Lepisosteus oculatus: one gene and its partners. The protein of the gene in region 3 purifies or fractionates together with the protein of the main gene of each other region. This does not show direct contact. Links are inferred from orthologs where the notes say so. Each region holds a gene or a part of one and is shown on either strand. Other genes may lie near its edges. The genes, in order: sdf2l1, dnajb11 and ptpro.

Evidence for each region.
Region 1: the proteins of ptpro (region 3) and sdf2l1 purify together in Homo sapiens (affinity purification with mass spectrometry; 3 studies listed by BioGRID and IntAct, with this or other methods). This does not show direct contact. The link is inferred for Lepisosteus oculatus from reciprocal best matches to the Homo sapiens genes PTPRO and SDF2L1.
Region 2: the proteins of ptpro (region 3) and dnajb11 purify together in Homo sapiens (affinity purification with mass spectrometry; 3 studies listed by BioGRID and IntAct, with this or other methods). This does not show direct contact. The link is inferred for Lepisosteus oculatus from reciprocal best matches to the Homo sapiens genes PTPRO and DNAJB11.

Annotation. Positions count from the first base shown.
Region 1 is NC_090717.1:2,067,613-2,075,383, forward strand, and holds the start of sdf2l1 (stromal cell-derived factor 2-like protein 1), read right to left. Parts: upstream 3,035-7,771; 5' UTR 2,930-3,034; coding exon 2,746-2,929; intron 946-2,745; coding exon 749-945; intron 1-748. Other genes in the region: uncharacterized protein, read right to left, coding at 4,796-5,221, 5,379-6,110.
Region 2 is NC_090707.1:7,356,221-7,363,665, reverse strand, and holds the start of dnajb11 (dnaJ homolog subfamily B member 11), read left to right. Parts: upstream 1-4,443; 5' UTR 4,444-4,587; coding exon 4,588-4,661; intron 4,662-5,394; coding exon 5,395-5,551; intron 5,552-7,445. Other genes in the region: tbccd1 (TBCC domain-containing protein 1), read right to left, coding at 1-147, 1,314-1,475, 1,697-2,032. UniProt on the Homo sapiens protein: As a co-chaperone for HSPA5 it is required for proper folding, trafficking or degradation of proteins.
Region 3 is NC_090702.1:27,118,534-27,126,571, reverse strand, and holds the start of ptpro (receptor-type tyrosine-protein phosphatase O), read left to right. Parts: upstream 1-4,991; 5' UTR 4,992-5,305; coding exon 5,306-5,380; intron 5,381-8,038.

The DNA of each region.
Region 1 (7,771 bases), on a different chromosome or scaffold from region 3:
TTCAATTGATGGCTTATTTAAATTCTGGGAAACATCACTCACATCTGCTATGGCTATATCAAATGATTTAAGCAGTTTTTGCTCAGATTGATTATCTTTCAGTTTTTAAAGCTAGACTACTGCAGATCATGAATATGTACAGTTCAACTCCCTACGGCAGTACTGTTTCAGACTCCGCACTTCTGACTAGGTATAGGGAAATGTTCTCTGAGAACAATCCAGTCTTTTTAAAATGACTTATATCAGAGTCGTGCTACTCATAATTATACAGAAGCACATGTAAATCAGCATTTCCCAGAATCCAAGCCAAGAATCCAGCAAAATTCCTCTGTCAGAAGGACTTTTTACATTACAGCTCAAATATCCATTCAATTTTAATGGCTGCTTTTAGCTAGAACTTCCCCCCTGCGTCAGGAGTCTCGGGACACAGAATACTCTAGAGTGAACATCTGTAAAGCACATCTGCCCGCTGTGAGGACGCTCCAGCACAGGATGAGGCTGACAAGGTGACAGCAGTTCAGGTAGGGAGCTGCGTCAGCATGCCTAGGCTGCGGAGGAACAGGTGAAGGTTTATTCCAAGCTCAAAGGTAAAGAGACCAAACGTTTCGGCTGTGGAGCCTTTTCCAGGGGTCTCAAGGTGCCTGGAAGAACGCTCTGCAGCCGAAACGCTGCGTCTCCCCTCTTCCTTTAACGCGCAGTAAACCGGTACCCGTTCCCCGACCAGGCAGTCCCGGGCGCGAGGCCGTACCTGGTTTGCGGACAGCGGCGAGACGAAGTGATGCGTGTGGAGGTTGCGGCCCGTGTTCATGTGAGTGAGGCGGATGGGCTGGCCACACTTGACGGGCGCCCCTCGCTGGCAGGGGGCGTTGGGCTTGCCCCGGATGCGCCAGTAGCTGTTGGCGTCGTCCGAGTTTTCAACTCCAGTCACCGACTGCTGACCGCTACCTGCCGGAAACACACCGCCAGCGTCACGTCGCAGCTCAGGAGGTTACGATGGTGGGGTCCAGGCTTGGGAGCACAGAGCAACAGGGAGCAGAAACTTGACTCTTCTTCCACTCTCTTTTAAGAGCATACGGGCTACGAGAGAGAACGCCATTCGGCCCGTCTACAGCTCACTTGGAAGTGAGAAGCCAATTAATAATAATAATAATAATAATAATAATAATAATAATAATAATAATAATAATTGCTTACACTTATATAGCGCTTTTCTGGACACTCCCCTCAAAGCGCTTTACAGGTAATGGGGTCTCCCCTCCACCACCACCAGTGTGCAGCCCCACCTGGATGATGGGACGGCAGCCATAGTGCGCCAGAACGCTCCCCACACACCAGCTCTCAGTGGGGAGGAGAGCAGAGTGATGAAGCCAATTCATAGAGGGGGATTATTAGGAGGCCATGATTGGCAAGTGCCAATGGGAAATTTGACCAGGACCCCGGGGTTATACCCCTACTCTTTTCGAGAACCGCCCTGGGATTTTTAATGACCACAGAGAGTCAGGACCTCGGTTTTACGTCTCATCCGAAGGACGGCGCCTGTTTACAGTATAGTGTCCCCGTCACTATACTGGGGCATGAGGACCCACACAGACCGCAGGGTGAGCGCCCCCTGCTGGCCCCACTAACACATCTTCCAGCAGCAACCTTAGTTTTTCCCAGGAGGCTCCCATCCAGGTACTGACCAGGCTCACACCTGCTGAGCTTCAGTGGGCTGCCAGCTGTGAGTTGCAGGGTGATATGGCTGCTGGCCAATTCATCTGAAGCTGTTTCTTGTTTCAGATAAGTGCTAAAACTTTTTTGGGAGCAAAACAGAGAATACAGAAAGCTCACACATTGCAAAAAGCTTTCAGAAAAAAAAGTAACTGCACTGTATAGAAAGAGAGAGAGCAAGGATCTAAAACATAACATAACTCAAATAAAATCTCTAGAATATAGAAATGAACAAAAAAAATCTCCTTTCTCTGCGTCCTTATACTTATTGCTTGGTCTCTTAGTTAACTTGTCTTATTCTTACCCTTTACCATTTGTGACACAGTGTAAATAAAAAAAAAATCTGTTTCAGTCATCAGCACACGCGACCCACCAGATGGGGATGCGAGTGAGGGCGAGGAACAATATTGCGTTTGGCCGCAGACCAGCACAGTCCTGGTCGCGGACTCCACCAGGGCTCCGCTGACACCTGACCCTCATTTACTTAACAGCTCGCTCTCGTTTTCCCTCTTGGGAAGCTGACAGCCTGTCCGATGTGTGCGAACACTCGCCGCATAGGGGAATAAACTAAACCCGTTTCAGAGCGCAGCCGTCCACTTACCGGAAATGACACCTAACAGGTAGCTGGTACACAGGTGCACAGCAACATACATTAATCGGGCGGCTTCTAATTCCCAGAAGAGATTTGCTTGCTATGAAACTATCCGTTATAGAGGTTTTACACGTTCAAACTACTTGACAGTCACAGGAACAATCTATCAAAAGAATGCTACCTACCACAGGCGGTACTAACAGAACCTGGAATGGTTACTATGACAGATTTGTGTTGTTAAGCGTTAGGTGAAGAAACAAGTGAATGCACAGATATAGAAATCCTTGCCTTAATACACGTTAGAGGTGAATTTCACTCAAAAATTGACATTCAGGAACACAAAAGCATTTGGACAGAGCAAACGCAGACTTGCTTCAAAACCGAAAAGGGTTCGCAAACACAGAGCATGGAAACAGTAACTCTACCCACACAAGCAGTCTTACCTGAACCGTATTTGACATCGTGGGAATGCAATCTCACGTTGTGTCTTGTGTTAAGTAATTTTACCAGGGACCCGCAGGTAACGTAACTGAACTCCGACTCACGACCCTCGCATTGCAACAAGATGTAAAGCAGCAGAAAGAGCTTCATAAAGATGTGATCTCGGAAATCCCGGAATAACCTCATCGTTCGAAGTACAAGCGGAATTAATTTCTTTTATTTCTACAAAAGGGACAGGATGTAGAAAAGGCACCAACACGCTTTCAAACCGGCAGACTTCAGCCAATCAGCGCTTGACAAGTCGTGGTGTACGGAAGTCGTGGCTCCCACATGCTGTTTTTCCATTGGTCACTGTGGATCTGGGGGCGGAAATTTTAAACAGATTCTCTTATTCTGATTGGCTCTCCTTTGTTCCTGGTCGCAAGAGCCAATATCGTTCCGAACGTAAGTACATCTGCAGGAATTTAATTGGCTCTTTAGAAAACTTGGCTGCTCGGCTTCACCCAATGAGCTGCCAGAGACTCTGTGCACCAGCTTGGCAGGTCTACCACTTGTAAAGTAATATGTAATTGCGCTCCGCAACAAAAGTTCACTATTTGTAAATTTGAAATGTAGACAGGAATTTCGGGAAGACTATGGAATTGCAGTGCATGAAATTAAACAAGTTTTTTCTTCTTTTACTCGGTCTAAAATTATTTTCTAAAAATCCTAGGAAGAGCGGAAAGATCTTTCACAAATATTAAATATACAACACAGAAAAGCGATTTTTCCGAATTCTATGCATACACTTTTATGAATTGGTCTCGATTACATCACTGTTTTAACTAATCAGGATTAAGGAGACTGTCGGCCACGAGTTAAAGACTTGTATGAAGGTCTATATGGCTTGGATTGGGTGGACTGGAAATCACTGAAACGTACGAAATAGTATAAAGAACAGGAGGCCTTTCAGCCGATTTAATTTGTTCAATTTCTAGTAGACCATTTCACCTGAGGGTTTTTTTCTGGCAGTTTCTCAAACGAATGAAATGTTATCAATAACAGGACTGTGAAGCTTGTTCCAGACTCCCACAGCTCTGTGTGTACAGATATAAAATTAACTTCCTCTTAGTTTCCATTTGTGTTCGGTGATTTGTGTCTTACTGTTAGTTCTGAAGAAGTCCACGAGACTGGAACCATTTCTCCTAGTATTCCTCCCTGTTTAACACTAAAAAGATGACGTTCTTTTAGCTTGACGGGAAGACAGGAGTTCTTGAAGCCCCTGTATGTATCTGATTGCTGCTCTCTTGCCTGATTCAAGAGAAGCAATATATGTTAATGCTTTGGTGACCTAAATTAAAATGTAGAATATTCTAAATGACTTAAATTCCTACTAGTGCACTGTACAATTCTAAAACGAGTACCCCTATTTTAAGTTTGAACGACTAGCTATGTGTCCTAACATTTATTTATGTCATTGTCTAGGGGATGAAAATGATGAGTTAAAATAGATATCTAATGCTTTTTCATAGATAGCCTTTTAAGCTCAGTGTTCCCAAGTTTATGGTCGAGCTACAACACTCTTATTTACACACGCGTGTAACTCTGCACTTTACTGCAAGAAAATGTTTCTGCATTTCTGCATGTGCCTTTGCATTGTGGTCGTGAGTTCTGGGTGTCTTGAATTATACCTAAATCTTTGTGCCGGTCCCTTGCGTTTGGCATCAGGTTTGAACTCGACTAAGTTTGCAAAGGGATACAGTCGAGCTAATCCCACACTGTGGAAAATAAAATAGAAAAAAAAGAAATGTGTTTTAGCAGCAGAGCCTCTTCAGGCGTCTGGGGAGAGAGGGAGAGGGCAGCAACTGGTTAATTGACTAGGATCGGAAGCAAATAAAAGCTTTCGTTTTAAAACAAAACATTGATCTCTCCATACAGGGTATCAATAATTCAGGGATCTTTGCCATTTTCTACATGGTACAAGAGAACGTGATCACCTCTTTGTTTTTTTATTGTGGCTGAAGGGCTGCCGAAACATGGAATAGTCTGGCTGGACAGCGGCCCAAACACTCCTCATCCCTCTGTTTGTGGGAAAGGTGCGCCGTCTGTGGGAGAGATGGGCCTCTCCGCTGTTTCCTTCTCAGCAGGGAGCTGGTGGGAAGAAGAGATGGCCTCTTGCGCTGCCATGGCACTGTCGAGCCCAGGGAGCGTCGCCTCTGGTTCAGCTTGGACAGGGGTCTCGCAGGCCCCGGCGGCAGCAGGGTGCGGGGGCGCCGGGCCCTCAGTCAGGAGGCCCTGGGACCCGAGCTCTGCCTTCCCACCGAGGGTCTTAACTTCCTGCCTGCTCCTTTCAGATGGGGTCAAAAGTATGCCCAGTTTGTGAGACAGCTCCACTCCTTTCTTGGTCCAGTCATTCATGTTCCAATAGGCCTCCTCCAGAATCCGTCTGAGGCTCACCCTGGGGTCATCGCTGGGCTGCTCGGCGGCTCCCCCGCCAGTCTGTGCAAAGAACACAGACCTGTGACTCTGGCCGGCTTGTGTGATCTCCCGCAGGAACGCACGTTGTAGTGTTGACGCCAGAGAACAGGTCTGTCGGAGACCACTGTTATTAGCAATTTAAAAAATATACGTGGGTGAGGTTGTTTTTTTTTCCTACCTTCTTCCATGCGGCGGTATTTTCCGAGATTTCTGCTGCTTTATTTTGTCTTCCTTTGCCTGCCTTCGGGGGAGCGGTTTTGGGGGCGGGTTTCCTGGTTTCTCGCGCGGGGTGCGCCGTGTTTTTCTCACAGCAAGGACACGCCGCCCCTCCCGGAGCGACGTCCTGGGCGTGTGTCGCGGGAGGTCGCTCGGATCTTTCTTTCGGGGTGCGCGTCTTTGTTTTTTTTATCTGAGCCGGCGTCGGCTCCGGGTCGGGGGCAGCTGTCGACACGCTTTCCAGGCCCTTCACCAGCCGGCACAGACGGATCTCCCTGTCCAGCATGTCAGCCACTTCTCCGGACTCGACCTCGTGGTAGCGGTCGCTCCCCCGGTCCGTTTTAAAGACCGGATGCCCATCCGAGTTTGTGGCTTCCACCAGTTTATGAAACAGCAAAGAAACAACTTTTTCCAAAGCGTCCAGAACCCCACGTTGTTCGATGAACCCCTTGACCTCGGCGTGGGGGTGACCAAGCACGGGGGCGGCCATCTCTGAGCGGGACTGGTCACCCTGGATGTTCGGAGACCACGACGGTCTCCTGTAGAGGGTTTTGTCCGCCATCAGACGCTGGCCTTCTTCCACCACGAGGCGTCTGATGAATTTCTCTGCGTCTTCAGAGGCGTTGCGCGCCGAGCACGTCGCGTCTGGTTTTGAATCGGGCGAGGTCTCCTCGCTCTGGTGCCACGGTTCCATTTTTAGCGGGTTCGAGGGCAAAACCCACCGCTACCGCGGATCCAACCCAACCGATGAGCGGCCTTCCTTCAGCCCCATTCAAGACCAGCGCCCTGCCACCATGGACGCCGAACCTCTTGCAATGTGGACATTCTGCCTTCCCCGACACTAGACCTGCGCGGTTGGTCGCCGAATAGAACTCCACGCATTACAAAAACAGATCCATTGTCGCGTCATTGTCGGAAGCGATTGAGATATTCTATCGACATTCTATCAGCTGCTGCTAGGGAGCCGGGCATTTGCAGAACAGCCCCCGCAGGCGTGTTCTTTGGTAGTGCCCGTGCCAGACCGTTCAGGACGTCGCTTGTTAGGTTAGATCGGGGTGGGGGCGGCATCCTGTTCAAGCCTCTCGCTGGAAGACTCAAGCGCGTCCACGAGGGGCACGCTGAAGCCTTCGCCGTGCACACGCACACCGGCCGGGGTCCGTCCAGAGACTCTGATTAACCTGGACACCCGGCTCTTTGGACTGCAAGCGCGGACCGGGACACTCAAGAGAACATGTGAACCAGCAGCGCTAATCTCCACCCCGCCGGTTCAGTAGGTATTTATGAGAATTTAGCGAAAAATACCACGCGTTTTTTTTCTAACCTATTAATCCCGACATTGGCTATCCAGTATTGAAAAGTCTGGATGCAGTGTCCCTTTAGTTCTCAGTAAAATGAGGGAATGTTACATGAAATGTAGTATGAAGGCGTCAGTGTGTGTATTTGGAGAACAATTTACTCAGTTATAGACTGTTTCTCCTCAGTACATCAGTTTGATGATGTTGTACACGCCAGTCTGTCTTAATATCGCAACTCCTGAATCATTCCCTCGGGGAGTCAGAAAAACCGCGTCGTTATGTACGCGCACGTCGGGATGGAAAAGAACTCCAGGCAGCGCGTTTGACGTGTAAGCAGGCGCGTCGCACCTGTGTTTGACCTGAACTAATGACACGTTTCTCTAGTTTCTCTGCCGCATACGGAGCACGAAGACAACAGATGACACACTGACACATAGAGTATAGCTGAAGACGCCCCCAGCCCCGAATTTCTCATCTGGCGCGAGTTGGTAAGACTTGGTTTTCACCTCCAGTTCGATTTCAAAAGTTTTCCGAGGTCAACAAACTGTCTCGAAAAAAAAAACATTTTACATTTTAAATTTTACTTCTCTGAGTGAATTTCGGCTATAAACCTAATATAAAGTCTTAAACTAAAAAAAAAAACCTAAAATATTTAACATATTAACAGTACTGTAACAATGACACCTGTTCATATTTATTTATTTTTTGAGCACTGATATAACAAGTTCATCAGGAGTTACTTCCCGGTACAGTTTTCAGATTAGGAGTGAGAACGCAAAACGTCTTGTAATGAAACGGCTCTTTGTTGCAAAGGCACAGAATGCCTTATACCAATTCAGAACAGCATGGACATTATTTTCGAGGTGATCTGATCTGGCTACGCGATCATTTCTATGGTGTACTACAACACCTACCCAGAGCAATATTGGCACGAAAACTACACTTCCAAAACAAAATCCGTGACAAAGATATTCCCATAGCTCACACTAGAGGGCGCGGTAATCCGGAAAAGCAACCTCGATATTTACAGGAGCTTGTAATCCGTCTTCCGAATGGTTAT
Region 2 (7,445 bases), on a different chromosome or scaffold from region 3:
ACTGAGCCCCCGCAGCGCCTCAGCCGACACCTGGCTGTCGTGCACTGCCTGGCCCGGCCCGCCCAGCTGCTCCGGCTCAAGAACCAGCTCCAGCAGGTCTGACAGGTGGGTCTGGATGAAGCTCAGGTGGGCCTGGTCATCCCAGTTCTGCAGTCCGGCAGGGAGATGAGCACAGAGAGACAGGTGAAGTCAAGAGAACATCTTTTTTCCCCATCATGCTCAATGGAACTGTACACATTTTGGTCTTACTAGTGCACTGTACAATAAGAACGTAACATCCCTCAATATAAAAGCTGTGCTTCTAACTTTAGATCCTTACATGCCTTTCTTGTTGGTTTCCCACGTTGTCTAAATCAGGGACTCAGTCCTGGTCCTGGAGTGCCAGTTTTCTGCTGGTTTTTGTTCCAGATGGCACTTAATCAGCAATACTAATCTGTACCTGCACCTGATCTGCTTGTTGGTTTACTTTTTTTCCCCCACACTCACCCCTTGGTTTCAAGAGCACCCCAACATACATTATTTCCAACAGACGAGAGCTTAGAACCCCTTCTTTATTTTTAGTTACTTTTTGCTACTTACATGTCACACTCCACACTGGTCTACACCTGTCAGGTGTTTGTCAACTCTTGAATTGTAACTAACTTTTTTTTTTATTTCATGTGCAGCTCCTAGTACTTGTTAAACTCTCCCTTGTGGTATTATTTTCAAAAATTGCCTAGTTTCCTAACTATATCAGAGTCCGATTGGTTCTAGATATAAAATAGGAAGGAAAGCCCTGTGGTCCTAATACATAGCCCTGTGGTACTCCACTAATTATAACACCTCAATTTGAGTCTTCACTTCTTTCTGTACTCTAAGCACTCATTAACCAGTTCTCACAGAAGAGACATACATCTCCTTGAACTGTGCCTTTTACAAGAAATTCAAGGAAATCAATGTCTCTGGTTCGAGAACTGCCTGTGATTTTCAAATTAGACTAAGGTACTTGATCAAAGGCTTTCTGAAAATCTAAGTACTCCACATGACATGCTCGTTCTGTATGCCCTACTGCTCTTGCTAGTTCAAACAAGTTCTAACACGTCAGCTAGCAAGGCCAACCTTTTCTACATCCCTGCTGGTTATCCCTTTGAATCACCCTGCTATTGAAATGATCCCAACGGTCTAGTTCTAATTTGTGTTTGCCACAACCTTACATGCAAAACGAGTAAGACCGATTGGTCTGCAATTACTAGGGCCTCTGCCGAAGCACCAGTCTGTGAGGAGGCCGGCAGCCTGCGAGCCGCGGCGCTTGCCGGGGTGCGGCGGCCGAGTACCTTGTTCTGCGCGGCGGTTTTGGCGTCGCGGTCCGGGGAGGGCGAGCGGGAGCGGGACCGGGGGCTGGGCCACTCCTCGCCGATCAGGGACGTGCGCAGAGAGACGCGGTTCAGCTGCTGGATGTAGAGAAACAGCAGGAACTGCAGAGTGTCCACGGAGAGCTGGGAGGGGGACACAGAGAGAGTGGGGACGAGTAGGGGGGCGGAAGAGATGAAAGGGGTGGTTAAGACGCCGTAAAACATCTGATCCCTGCCATCTCATCATGCCCAGAAAGGAATGGGGGCAGATATCCTTGAAGCCCCCTGACACCACTGCCTTTCGCCTCTCACCACTCCCCCTCGCCTAACCCCGTGCTCCCTGCGCTTCAGGCTCCTCTCCCCACCTTGTACCGCAGCTTGTCCAGCTCCTCCACCGAGCCGCACTGCGACACGGCCTCCGCCCACTCCAGCCGCTCCTCCGGGGGGCGCGGTGCCAGCAGGTCGCAGGTCTCGAAGTAAAGCCAGGCGGTGTCTTCGGGCAGCTGCAGCTTCCCGCAGGCGATGTGGCGCCAGAGCGGCCAGTGCAGCCGCGGGAAGCAGCCCTCCCGCGTCCGCGCTCGCACGTAGGCCGCCATCTTGCGGAGGTAGTGCATGCTGAACTTGGCGGGGGGGGCAGCTGGCAGCACGCCCAGGAGGAAGGGCTCCAAGCGTGGCCACACACTGACGCTGCGCTGCTCCATCACCCTGAGGGAGAGAGAGAGGCAGGGACAGAGGGGTTAAAACACACACTGACACCCTGGGAGAGAGAGGCAGGGACAGAGAGGTCAAAACACACACTGACACACTGGGAGAGAGAGGCAGGGACAGAGAGGTCAAAACACACACTGACACCCTGGGAGAGAGAGAGGCAGGGACAGAGAGGTCAAAACACACACTGACACCCTGGGAGAGAGAGAGGCAGGGACAGAGAGGTCAAAACACACACTGACACCCTGGGAGAGAGAGAGGCAGGGACAGAGAGGTCAAAACACACACTGACACCCTGGGAGAGAGAGAGGCAGGGACAGAGAGGTCAAAACACACACTGACACCCTGGGAGAGAGAGGCAGGGACAGAGGGGTTAAAACACATACTGACACTGCACTGCTCCGTCACCCTGAGAGAGAGAGAGAGGCAGGAACAGAGGGGTTAAAACACACACTGACACCCTGGGAGAGAGAGGCAGGGACAGAGGGGTTAAAACACACACTGACACTGCACTGCTCCGTCACCCTGAGAGAGAGAGAGAGGCAGGAACAGAGGGGTTAAAACACACACTGACACCCTGGGAGAGAGAGGCAGGGACAGAGGGGTTAAAACACATACTGACACTGCACTGCTCCGTCACCCTGAGAGAGAGCGGCAGAGACAGAGGGGTTAAAACACACACTGACACCATGGGAGAGAGAGGCAGGGACAGACAGGTCAAAACACACACTGACACCATGGGAGAGAGAGGCAGGGACAGAGGGGTTAAAACACACACTGACACCCTTGGAGAGAGAGGCAGGGACAGAGGGGTTAAAACACACACTGACACTGCACTGCTCCGTCACCCTGAGAGAGACAGGTTAAAACACACACTGACACCATGGGAGAGAGAGAGAGAGGCAGGAACAGAGGGGTTAAAACACATACTGACACTACACTGCTCCATCACCCTGCGAGAGACGGGTTAAAACACACACACTGACACCATGGGAGAGAGAGAGAGGCAGGGACAGAGAGGTCAAAACACACACTGACACCCTGGGAGAGAGAGACAGGCAGGGACAAATACAGACCAGTCTGACTGGCACTGCCCAATGCTAACATGGCTGAGAAGGTGCCGATGGAGTGAGAAGAGACGGAAACAGCAATAGCTGTAGGACACAGGAGTCACACAGTAGCCCCTACCGATGACAAGCAGTCTAACTGCAGACACGTAGGAGAAACGCAGATGAGGGGAGAAAGATGACTTGGCCAAGACTCTCCAGAAAGGCTGGCAGGCAGAAACCACCGGATAAACCACCAGAGAAAGACGCTGCAACACCAAGGAGTCAAAAAGACCGTTTCTAACCCATGCCACCTGGACTACATGAACGTTAAAGGGAAAAAAACACTCGCCACTCAATGTTTCAAGTGTAAACTTGCGTCGTACGCAGTGGACGATTTGGCTATTTTCCCGTATTCTTGACGGAGGGAAACAAAACGTGCACGACCGAGGAAAGCCCCAGGTGTCGGCTCTGTGGCCTTCGCCAACACCCAGCCGGCTCCGGCGGAAAGCCCTCCGCGTCCCCATGGCAACAGCTCCAGCGAGGGCCCCGTCTCCCCGACCGACATACCTGGCGCTCCCTCGCCGCAACACAACAGACACGCAAGCTTCACCTTCCGCGGACCGGCCCCGCCGTCCCGCTGAGGGCTGGGGGCTGGGGGCTCCTCTGTAAGTCTTAGTACACTTATCTGGCGACCCCTGTGCCCCCACAGGTTAATACGAAAGGGGTTTCTGTCTCTGTCCTGCTTAAAACAGCCGGCCGCCTCTCTCTTGCTTTTGGCGCCGCCGCTTCCTCGGCCTCGTGAGCGCGCACGTCGTCAGCTGGAGCGCGGGCACGAGCAGGAGGCGCTGGCTCCAGTCCTGCTTCCTAAAAAATTCCCAGCGCATTAATTAACCATCCGGCCTGATTCCGACACCGACTGCTTTAATGTCAGACAACACACACCGCAAGGTCGAGTCTTCCAACAGCACGCTTGCGGGGAAATAAATCGTTATGTTTAAAATGTTATTTCTAAGCTCTCAGTACGGGATTTTATCCACAGAAGCTGAGGCAGAGCGTTCCGCTCACAAAACTCGGACCGATTTAAAGTGTTGTGAAATGGGAGTCAGATTTGCTTGTGTTTTTTTTTTTTTACCAAAAGACTATAACCGTAACAGGTATTTTCAGAAAATTAAACCCGGTGACAGCTTTTATATCCCCCACCCCATAACACACAAACAAAAACGAATAGCTTCTGCTCAGCAACTGATTTGAAAGTAAGGCGCCCTTTCTCAAGAGGGCGGCGTGCTCAGCTGCCCAAGCCCAGCGCGCCCCCTGCAGGCAGGCCGGGGAGGGGCGGGGCCTTCGCGGGGGCGGGCCTTCCGGGCGGAAGCGCCGCTGCCGAGCCTGCGGGAGAGAGGCAGAGTGACAGGAGGGCCGGAGCGCAGAGGGGGAGAGAGCCGGAGAGCGGGCTGAAGTGGACAAATACAAAAACTACATAAAAAAAAAAACTAAACATCCATATGGCTTCCAGGGTACTGAGTCTGAGCAGCGCCTGCTGTCTGCTGCTGTATTTCGCGGCGGCTGTGCTGGCAGGGTGAGTCAACCGAGGCGCTTTCAGCGGCGCTCATACCGGCTGGTACACATGTTGCGCTGTGATTGGTCTGCCGCGGCTCGGACCCTTCCGCCGGGCTGGGCGGCGATGGCAAGCCGCCGCTTGTGAATTGCGGGTTTTGAGGCTGTTGCACTTTTTAACAGGCTTGCTGGCGGCGTGTCCCCGTAGGGGAGCTGGTGTATGTTGCACTGGTGTTGCCTGGTCGCTATACACGCTTTGAAAGGGCTGGCGCAGGGTCCGATGTACGCACCTCCTTACCTAACACACCGGTCCGTGCCCTGTTACATACTGGGATGCATCAGCCCGTTTCTTTAAAACTATCTCGTCAGTTTTTTTTTCAAATATATATATTTTAAGTGGGTTGCAAAACTGTACGCAGACGTTTCCATGAATGCAACCGACTCGGGGTTCCCTCTCGTTCGGGGTTCATTCGCTCGTGGGTTCGGTTTCCTTTCGGCTGACTGGAGGGAACACCAGCCCCATTGCGTGTTTCATGTCCGTCCCCTGCATCTGGGAGGGATACTGTGGGAATCCTGGAGTGTCCCTTCTGACTGTAATAAAGACTTTCCTGTGCGCGCTCTCAGAGTCTCTTCACACTGGACCCCACAGTGCTCGTCCAACAGCCCCGAGGGGTACAGGGGGGAAATGGAGCTGTCTGTTTCCAGCTTGCGTGTAAGCAGCCCTCTCCGTGGCGCTGTCTGTTCCTCGGTTCCAGGCGGGATTTCTACAAGATTCTCGGGGTGTCCCGGTCGGCGTCCATCAAGGACATTAAGAAGGCGTACAGGAAACTGGCCCTGCAGCTGCACCCGGACCGGAACCCGGACGACCCCCAGGCGCAGGACAAGTTCCAGGACCTGGGCGCGGCGTACGAGGTGGGTGAGCCGGGCCCGACTGGAGCGCGGAGTCCTGCTGCTCCTCGGTGCCCCCAAGCGCAGTGGAAACCAGTGAGCTGGACCTGCAGGAGGCTGCTGCTGGGGCACAAGGGGATGACCTGGTTTGATTTTGACACGTCCCTAGAAGCGTCCCTAACATTCCCGACGAGTGAGCCGCAGGAGGCCAGCAGGGCTGCCCCTGTAACGCCAGGGCCTGGTAGCTCATGGATATCACCGGTACCAGGAGTGCGTGTGTTGCTTTGTAAGGTGTTGGCATCATTTCCTTGAGCAATACGACAAACAGTACACAAACAACAAGGACATCCCAGCACAGTACAAGTGCAGCTCCCACCCCCAGCTGTGAGCAGGTGTTTAATAGCCTCAGCTGGCTTCTCACCTGCACTCAGGCAGAAATCAGTCTGTGCTGCTCTTGCTGAAATATTCACAGCAGGATTGCTGCCCAGTACCACACCCTGCTGTAGCAGTACGTGCTGTGACTAAAGAAGTCAATGATATGAATGCTAGTATATCAACTTATAATAAACTTTATTTTATATAGCTCCTTTAAAGGTGGCTTCTCAAAGAGCTTTACAGAACAACAACAATGAAATAAAAATTACACAAGATTTGCACAATGAGATCACACAATGAGAGGAGACAGTAGATGGGGGTACTGAATACAGTAGGATCAGGGGGTAAAGAACAGAACCAGTCAAGGAAAGGTGTTTCTGAAGAAGGTGGCTTTGAGTCTGGATTTGAAGGAGTTTAGAGAAGGTGGCTCTCTGATATCCCTGGGGACTTCTGCGGCGTTACTGTAACCCTCCTCTCTGGCTGGGTGATGGAATCCTTCCTGCCCTACACTTGCACTGGGCCCCGTCCAGTGATTTCGATTATATCACTCGATCTCTTCTTTCACTGCCTTGTCTCCTGTGCTATAGAGTGTTTCGGTTCAGGTTGTCACTGGAAATGTCAACTGGCTCAACGGGTTAGACAAAGGTCGGTGATTGCCCAGCAGGTCTGTGGTGTTTGTGGGGCCTGTCAGTGATCCAGAGGCTGTAGTCACACCTGGACTGTTCTGATTGGCTCAGCTGTTTCCTTCCTGCTGTCTCTCTCCCTCAGAGAACGGGGGTGGGTGGGTGGGGGTGTGTGTGTCAGTATAGACCCCGGAGAGAAAGACAATCGCCTTACTGGCATCTGGGCTACAGTTGTGTAATATTATAGCACCTTGTGTCGTGGACTATGCTTTTGTACAACCCACAGTAACATTAAAAGGAAAATCTGGGTCATGATACCCAGCAAGCCCTGAGCCTGAAACTCAAGCAGGTGTTGTTGTTTATTAGCTCCTGGGCCTTTTTTGGCAAGACAGACCTAATTAAATTGTCTTCCGAAGAAAACGTATGTGTAATGTAATAGCGTCCCTTCTGTTAGACCTGTTTCCTGAATCTTCTCTCGTTCGGTCTCAGTTGTCTTTAGCAACGTGTTTCGGTTGCAGCAACGTAAAATTCAAAACGTCGATGGCTTTTTCCAGAATCGCGCTTGACTGGGGCACGGCAGCTCCGTACCGGCATTAATTAGGTGTGTTTTGATGACGTTATTAATTGCACCTGCCGCGATGTGGAAGAGCTCGGGGCTCAGAGAGCACGCTGCCTCTCGTGAGCCGCTGAGAGTTCCTTTGTTGTTGGAAACGGAGGCCCGTCCTGATTGGTGGACAAGCATGTGTGGCCGCATGTGATTGGTTGAGGGGTGAAGGGGTGAAAGTTGAATTAGCCAGCTGTTTTAACCACGCGGCTGTCTGAGACGCCGGGACCGGAAATCTGCGAATCTGCTCATTACATAGTAATTTAATATGAAACTACATCAGGAAATCTTAAAAGCGTTCTTTTCCCAGCTATAG
Region 3 (8,038 bases):
TAATCTCAAGTGTCACATGTATTGTGTATTATTCATTAAACGTGTTTGATGAAGTTTAGTTCTTTATGAGACAAGTTTAATTTGCAAGGTAGACCATAACACATATTATGGTGATTGATTCACATATTTACTATTACTCGTGTTGGTTTGTTATGCATGTATTAGTATTATATTAATTATTGGTACTGTATATTGCACATCTCTGTGTGGCAACTAGCTTTCTGATTGATTCTTAGTAGCCATAAAGCACTCTTGCAATCTACAGTTCCAATTTCTAATTCTTCCAGTAAATTAAACAATCACATCACTACACAAAGAATGGCAAAACAAGAGATTTGTCAATTTGTGGTGGACTTGATTCTGTTTGCAAGTTCAAGAACTTAGCTTATAAACATATACATACAAGAATTAAATTTCAGAAACAGAATGATGTTTCTGTCAAAAAGAAATTTTAGCACCACCTTCAGACATGATTAATAGATATGTATTTTAGCAAATCTGCAACAGCAGAGAAAAAGAATTTGTGTGTTTTGTGCTGTGTTATTGAACATATTGTTAAACTATCTGTTGCAAATTCTATGTCAATTATTGGGATTCCATATCTCAAATTGCATTCCTCAAAGCAAAAAAGTTTTGATTGTGAAGCCTTCTAGAAATGTGTGGATTTGGATGAAAAACCCTTCAGTTTTTTACAACTCTGGACTACCTCTTTTGCATATGCAAGCATTGAAAAAAGTAGAGAAAGATATTGACTCATTGCTATTTTCTCATAATTCCAGATGTTTTTCTTGTAATGCCTTTAGCAGGTTCCAGCAATAAACGTAAATTGTTCATTTTTATTATTGTCTTAGCACACGGTCAAGGACACATACTGTATACTGTAGTAGTTCAGGTGGGTAGCTGCGTCAGCATGCGTAGGCTGCAAAGGAACAAGTAATAGGTTTATTCCATGCTGAAAAGAAGAAAGAGAACACAACGTTTCGGCCGTGGAGCCTTCCCAGTATACTGTATACTGTACATTTGTATACCCATATCTTGTTTTTCTTAAGAGGCAGCAGTTTTAGCCTTATTTACTCAGATGGAAGAAAGTTCCGGCATCACTATGTGCCTAAGTATGACAACCACTGCTGTAACAGTAGGCTGTGAGGAGGGAGTCAGTACTGTGCTATAGGTTTTTGTGCTGCAGTCAAACCAGCAAGCCAGATTTTCCATTGACACTCTTTAGTTGAAGTTGTGAGTCCTTATTAAGCTGTAACATAGCTGGATCCCATGGTATGATTCTTCCTATCTTTCTTGACAGTACAAATTAAACTTGCTATTTTTTTAAATGACTTTGAATTTGACAGCTTGTATGTCTTCAAGAGCAGGACATACCAAATGAGGTCAAATAAAATGATGTCCGTGAAAATGAAAATAAGAGAAACTCAAAGAAAATGCAAATGACAATTACAATACTTATTCTACTCATAAGGCCTTTCTTAAAGCCTTGGGTTTTCTGACTAAAAATTCACTACCAGGGAATGGTCTAATGTACTACCACTCTTAAACTAGCACAGTCACTACAGGAATAACAGAATTTCATGTTCTACTGAAAGACCTGTGAAATCTGATTTCAAAACAGAATTTTTAAGTATTGCCAGTAAAACTTGAATACAAATGTGGGATAAAGAGACATGTAAAATGAGGTTGTATCTGTGTTAAGTGAGACAAGATCTACTGTAGTTGCCCAAAAAAATATCAAGTTAGTTTTTGAATTTCCCTTGTGCCTTGGAATTGCAGTTATGGGAATAAGTTACTGTATCAATATCCATGATTTGGGATATTCTTGCGGAAGTGAAATTATAATTTTGACAATTGAATAAATGAAGCCATTATGTCTTCAGGTGTTGCATTTTGTGCTTGAGGGAAAGTCCACACACACGAGAACTAATCAAGTCACAAGAGAACTTGCACTCAATCTGTTTGTCTGTGGAAACTGACTTTTAAGAAAAACAAAAGTTGGAGATTTCTACAGAGAGCAAGAATTGAAAGATATATATATACAGAGCATTACTGCTTGTCTCTCAGTTAGTTACTATCTGACTATAGTCCCAATCCCTAATCCCTTTGAACATACTGTACATGTACTGTATGATTCACCCCCATGGTTGTCTGAAATGGGAGGCATAGTGAGAACACGAGCCTCTAATCAGTTCCCTCTACTGCAATATCACAACCCCTGTGAGAACATCACTTTAGTAGTTAAAATCCTGAGAAATACTAACAAAGTCAACCCAATTGACTTCTTCCTTCTTAGCAACTAGAGCATGTATTCAAAAACACAACTGGAAAGGTAAAGAAAGTGCATTCAGGACCGGAAATAGGAGAAGCCCCTTGACATACAGTACCATTGTGGATGACTGGACTGAACTTTGTTGTTGAAATCAATTAATATACCTGGGATCCTTCAAGAAATGGCTGTTCAAGATCCTAGGGCCACTAGGCCCTACATGCCCCTTGGACCACATCTATACCATCTACCTCATTATGAGTTCTTATTTATTGCACATCTCCAGTCATTGTTTACACGTCTGCATTGTTTACATTCATATTGCTTACTTGTTTACTTGTACATTGTCTACTGTTTGTTTGTATATTGTCTTGATGCACTGTCTGCACTTTGTGTTTTTACACTTGTTTTACCAGTCGAGAGACTTTCTGTAAGTAAGAATTCCATTGTACCCATACATGTACCGGTTACATATGGCAATAAAGTTCAAGTTCAAGTTCACTAGATAACTAACTCTGATTTAAACCATTTCCTGTTTGAAACTTTCCTTGTGTTCATATTTTACATGGTACCTCAAATGTTTAATAAACAAATAATTCTAGCAAAAACAATATAACAAATAATGACATTGTGGTGCTTTCAAAAGTTAAGCAATAACAAGTTTTAAACAAAGATTTAAAGAAAAAGCTACAATTCCTTGGGCCATTGCAATATTGGCATGAATCTGTCTTGAACTGATCACCTTTAATTATATACAGTACATTACATGCAGTACAATTCAAAGTAAAAAGTGTGAGTTTGGCTGGAGTATTTCAACTAGTACTGTAGTTAACACAGTGGTTGAAAGAAAAAAAAAACAGTTCATGAGAAATATTAAATGACTTCCTTAAATGCATCTTATTCACATACAACAGCTTTGGAATGAACTGGAACTGAAAAATAGCTAAGATTCTCTGCACTCCTCAGATAGAGGAGTGGTACAATATTCCTGTCACCATTTTAAAAAACCTTCCTTCCAGCACTGATGCTGTTAATAAGCCAATTTTGGTTCTGCACACTACTAAATCCATAATGTAGTGCTGACATTTGCTATTTTGCCTTTTGTCTGACTATGTTTGAGAAATGTGATAGAAAATGTTAGTATTTTACCCATTTAAAACGAAAACCTTGACCTCCCCGATAACCTTACACTCCTAACCTTGCACACGGGAGTGGGTCTGTATTTCCCAGCTTGGTTGAAAGTTTTTATCAGCAAGAGGATCTGAAACGTAATCTTAACAAAAATCAGAGCCTTTTTTCCCAGCTACAGCAGAAATCTACCACCTGATAATCTATCACTGCTGTACTAGTTAATAATATACTGGTATTCACTTATGTTTCCCTTCAACACTATGTACTGTATTATTTCATATTATCAAAAATAAAATGTACAGTATACTGTATCTACATGGTGCCCCTCAAATAAAAAAAGATTCTTTAGTCAATAACATTTCTAAAAAAGAGTGTTTCTTACCTTGGGAAGGGTCTTTATACAGTAATAATATATATTTTTCCAATTTATCATAATAATACATTGAATGAATGTACAGTATTTCCTTTCATACACAAAATCAAACAACTGTGTAATAAAAAGATGGAAATGAAAAATCTAAACAAAAGAACCATGTAAGATTTTATCATTTTATAAGATTCTAGATTCTATTATTACTCATACTGTATAAGGAGTTGTATACTGTACAACATACTGTACAAAACTCTGTAGGAGTGCTGGTTTAAGCAGGCAGGTTCTGAAGCAGAATTTAAGAGACTCAAATCCCTGATCTCAGGGAAGAGTACTTCGTAACCTACATGTGCGTTTATAGGAGAACGCTCTCTCACCCATCGTTCTGTTGAGAACACAATAAACTAGTGTCTGAGGACCATAGAGTGTGGCTGAGGGTCATGATTTGTCAGGTAAGAAATTGGAGGGGGGCTTCATGGCATTAAAAGTCAGCAGCAGTGTCTATACTAAGTGAACATTTCCAGCTGTCTCAAAAGAGCGGTTTTATGTTCACCAGAATGAGGCCAAGAACGTTAGCTGAGTTTTGGACATACTGTACTTGAGTTTTTGTGAATGTATCTCGCTAAGTAACAGTGCTTGTAACTGTTTCAGTAATTAATTAAATAAGGTGGAGGAGTACATTGGGTGTTAAAAATTTAACAATTATATTAAGGAAATACAGTATATCAAACTAATGTATAAACCGAAGTTTTCAGGATGAACATACAGTACCAACGTTTTAACTTGGTACAGAAGACTCGATGAAATCAAGTCTTAATCCCGGGAGAACAGAGAATAAGATAAGACACCCTGTTTCTGCTGTTCTTTTATTGTTTCATAGAGCTACTGCAGTCATCATAGTATTTTCAGTTTCATAAATCAGCTTGTTTCTTGGCATCGAAATCTGCTTGGCCGGTATCGTTTTTATGGTTTGAGCTCAGTGCACTCAGATTTCTGATTCAAATATAAAAATGTTATTTATGCAATACATGAATGTAACAAGCCTCTACATTTTGGTAAAATTGAAACACGTCGTGCTGCCAAGGACCCCCTTCAGCATGAGAAAGTGAATTCTATTTTAATATGCTTCACTTCTCAGTCCATTTGGTGAGAGATCTGGGCGGGGCGTCGAGGGGAGGAGAGTCCGAATGTGCCCCCTGCGTGTGTCAGTCTCACCAGGAATGTGATGGGAGATGCTGGTTTCTCTGTTCATCTCATAAAGCCGTGTAGGGATTGTAGCTTTGCATCTCCGACGTAAAGTATTCTTCTTAACTGATGGCGATTTTACTGTCTACTGAGATCAGAACTTCTTTGGTGTTTTGAAAACAGCTTTAAGCGGCGCTCTAACAAAGGTGAAATTTAGGGAGAGAACATCACTGTGCGCCTTAGGTTAGGTGAAAGGGAAGCAATGCCAGCGATCTGATGCTGCAGAAAATTCGCCATTGTTTCGACGAGAAGCCGATTTATCATTACTTAGATTTATAGTTACCTTTTCAATGTTTTGCCAAGTGGCTAACAGGATCTCCATTTTCATGCTGCCTTGTATCATATGCCTCATTTTCAGCATCCAGGTAGGAAATTCCAGCTTATTTCGCCTTTAAAATCTACAAGCAGCGCTTGACGGGACTGCCATGATTATACCGTTGCACGTTTCTTTTGGTATTTTTGTACAACTTGTGTTGAAGCTGTGTGCTATTTTAATGTATCTGATGGATCTAAAGCTTTAATCCAATTATTAAAACATATTATCTTGTTTTAGCAGTATTGCTCCATGTTAAAAGAGAAGCATGGTCTGACAAATGTTGTCGCGTTTCTGCAAAATGCTTCTTCAGGCAAAATGGGGTCATTCCGTTGAGACTGTTCGCTATTATCCTGCATTGTGATTTCACCCATTCTCATCATTTGGCCTTTGATGAAAACGCATGTTTTATTCTGAAGCGGCACAGTTTTAACACGTTTAACTTGAAGAAAAAGTGCATGTTGTAGCATTTGCTCTTTTGTGAGTTCTTTAATGAAGTTAAGTGCAAACTCTGAGCTGTCTTGCCTTCTTAATGACGGTATCGTTCCACCTGTAACATGTACTGTATGAGTTGAGTAGTATTAAAATCTAGTAGCCCCTTACATAAAATGTATTAACAGGTCTGTATTGAAAAAAAGGGGTGAGATGAAAATAATTTGTTTGAACAGAAACTTAAGTTTATGTTAATAAAAATGAATGAATGACGAGTATAAAGTATTATTATAGGATAAAATATCAATAATAATGTCTGTACTAATACCACGTTGTTATCCTTCTGAATCAGTTAATTGAATTAGGCCTGATGGTTTTAAACATAATATTTTTAATGAAAGCCTGACCTGTGCTGTAGTTAATATTTTTTTAGTTTCCTGACTAGAACATTATTTAATACAATACAGAAAATATTATAATGCATGTTCTTACTCTTTCTTTAAAGATATAATTATATACAGTACATTGTACTGTTAAAATAACCTTCAACCATTAAAAAATGCATACTATAGTAGGAATACTAGAAATTCCGTTTGTGAACTTACTATATGTGTCATGTAGATATAAGGTTATAAGGTTTTGTTTCCATTAGGTTTGTGAAATTCCTAGAAGCACTAATGTTTTTTACACTGGAATTCATTACATTTTATCTAGTAATGAAAAACTGATACCAACTTAAAGCTAAATGTTCAGGGGATACCTGGGGAAAACAAGACTAATATAAAAAAAATTAGCATAATGATTACTTACCGGCACAGAAATCTCAGTGTGTCAAAGAAACAAAGATTTTCAGCTCTTAAATTAATATACTGTATGACAAGTAATGCAATTAAGAGATTCTATCATGGCTGCACTGTAAACTTGGAGGTGGTTACATGAAGAGTATAGAGGTAGCCTACCTAAGTGGGCCAGACCTTTGGGGTATCAGTTCTGAATGGTGTAATGGGTTTGGATTTGCACTTGGGACTCAGACTAGTAGTCTCTTTATAGTGTGCAGCTGTACTTACTAAGTAGAGGAGATTTCGACTAGAGGGACCAAAGTACACTTTGTATCATTGTCTATTAGAAATATTAAGTGTTCTTAAATGTGCTTGCCATGGTAGTATGGTAGTGAGTGCTGCTACTTCATGGCTCATAGATCCTGTGTTCTGTGTGGAGTATTTCTTTTGCATTGCCTTCCACCTTGCAAACAGGTTCCGATTAGGTTAGTTGCCATCTCTAAACTTTCCCTGTGTTTCTGTGCCTATGTGTGTGCTCTTGCAGGGAATACTGTACTTCAAGTTTATGCTGGCTCTTCCTTTCTTGTTTGTATTGCAGTAAGAATTCCATTTGATCTTATAATTTTTAACCAACAGTGTATTTACGTTTGTGTCGGTAAAATAAAGCTTGAATGAAATTTTGGGTCATATACAGTATGTTTCCAGGTACAGTACAGTACTTGTTGGCTTTTCTTGTTTCTTCTGACTCATCCTGTCTTTGAAGACACCACCTCACCCATCTCCCTACATTGCTCAGAATGGGATCTCATATTCCACACTTATCTTCCTTGCTTCTAATCATTGTAGTGAAATATCATAATAGTGATTGAATCTAGGATAAAACTTAGCACATATGCGGGACTTACCCATTTCAGAGTGAAATATAATGCTATACAAATATTTGAATAAAAAGGTTAACTGGCTATTATTGTGGTTTTAACCTTTGCCAAATAAGCATAATTAAACAAGAACATGATTTTTTTTATGCTTCATCAAGCAGTTGACGCTAAAATTATTTTATTATCTGAAAGCTGCACAATCAGTTTACTGATTCTTTCTTTTCAATCTGCTTCAATACTAAATTAATGAGAAGGGTTCTTAAAGGCTTTACAGATTTGCTGTACTATGGGCGATGGAGACCAGACAATAGCTCACATCAACTTCAAGTGGACTGGACCGTCAAGTGTGCTAGGACTACGAAAACTGTGAACTGATGGTTGGTTTTCCATCAGTTTCACCACATTTCATTTAAAAGTGCAGATACAGTATGTGTATTTTCGTGGTTTGTAAGCATTATGTTTTTGTGAATCATAGGAAAAAGTGAACAATTGTACAACTAGTATAATAACACATCATAAGCTGAGCTTCATTCATTTGAACAAATAGCCACTCTTTGTTCATGAGGTATAGAAATCAAATATTTAGTGTTTTCAACAGCACATATTTTTTGTATACAGAGT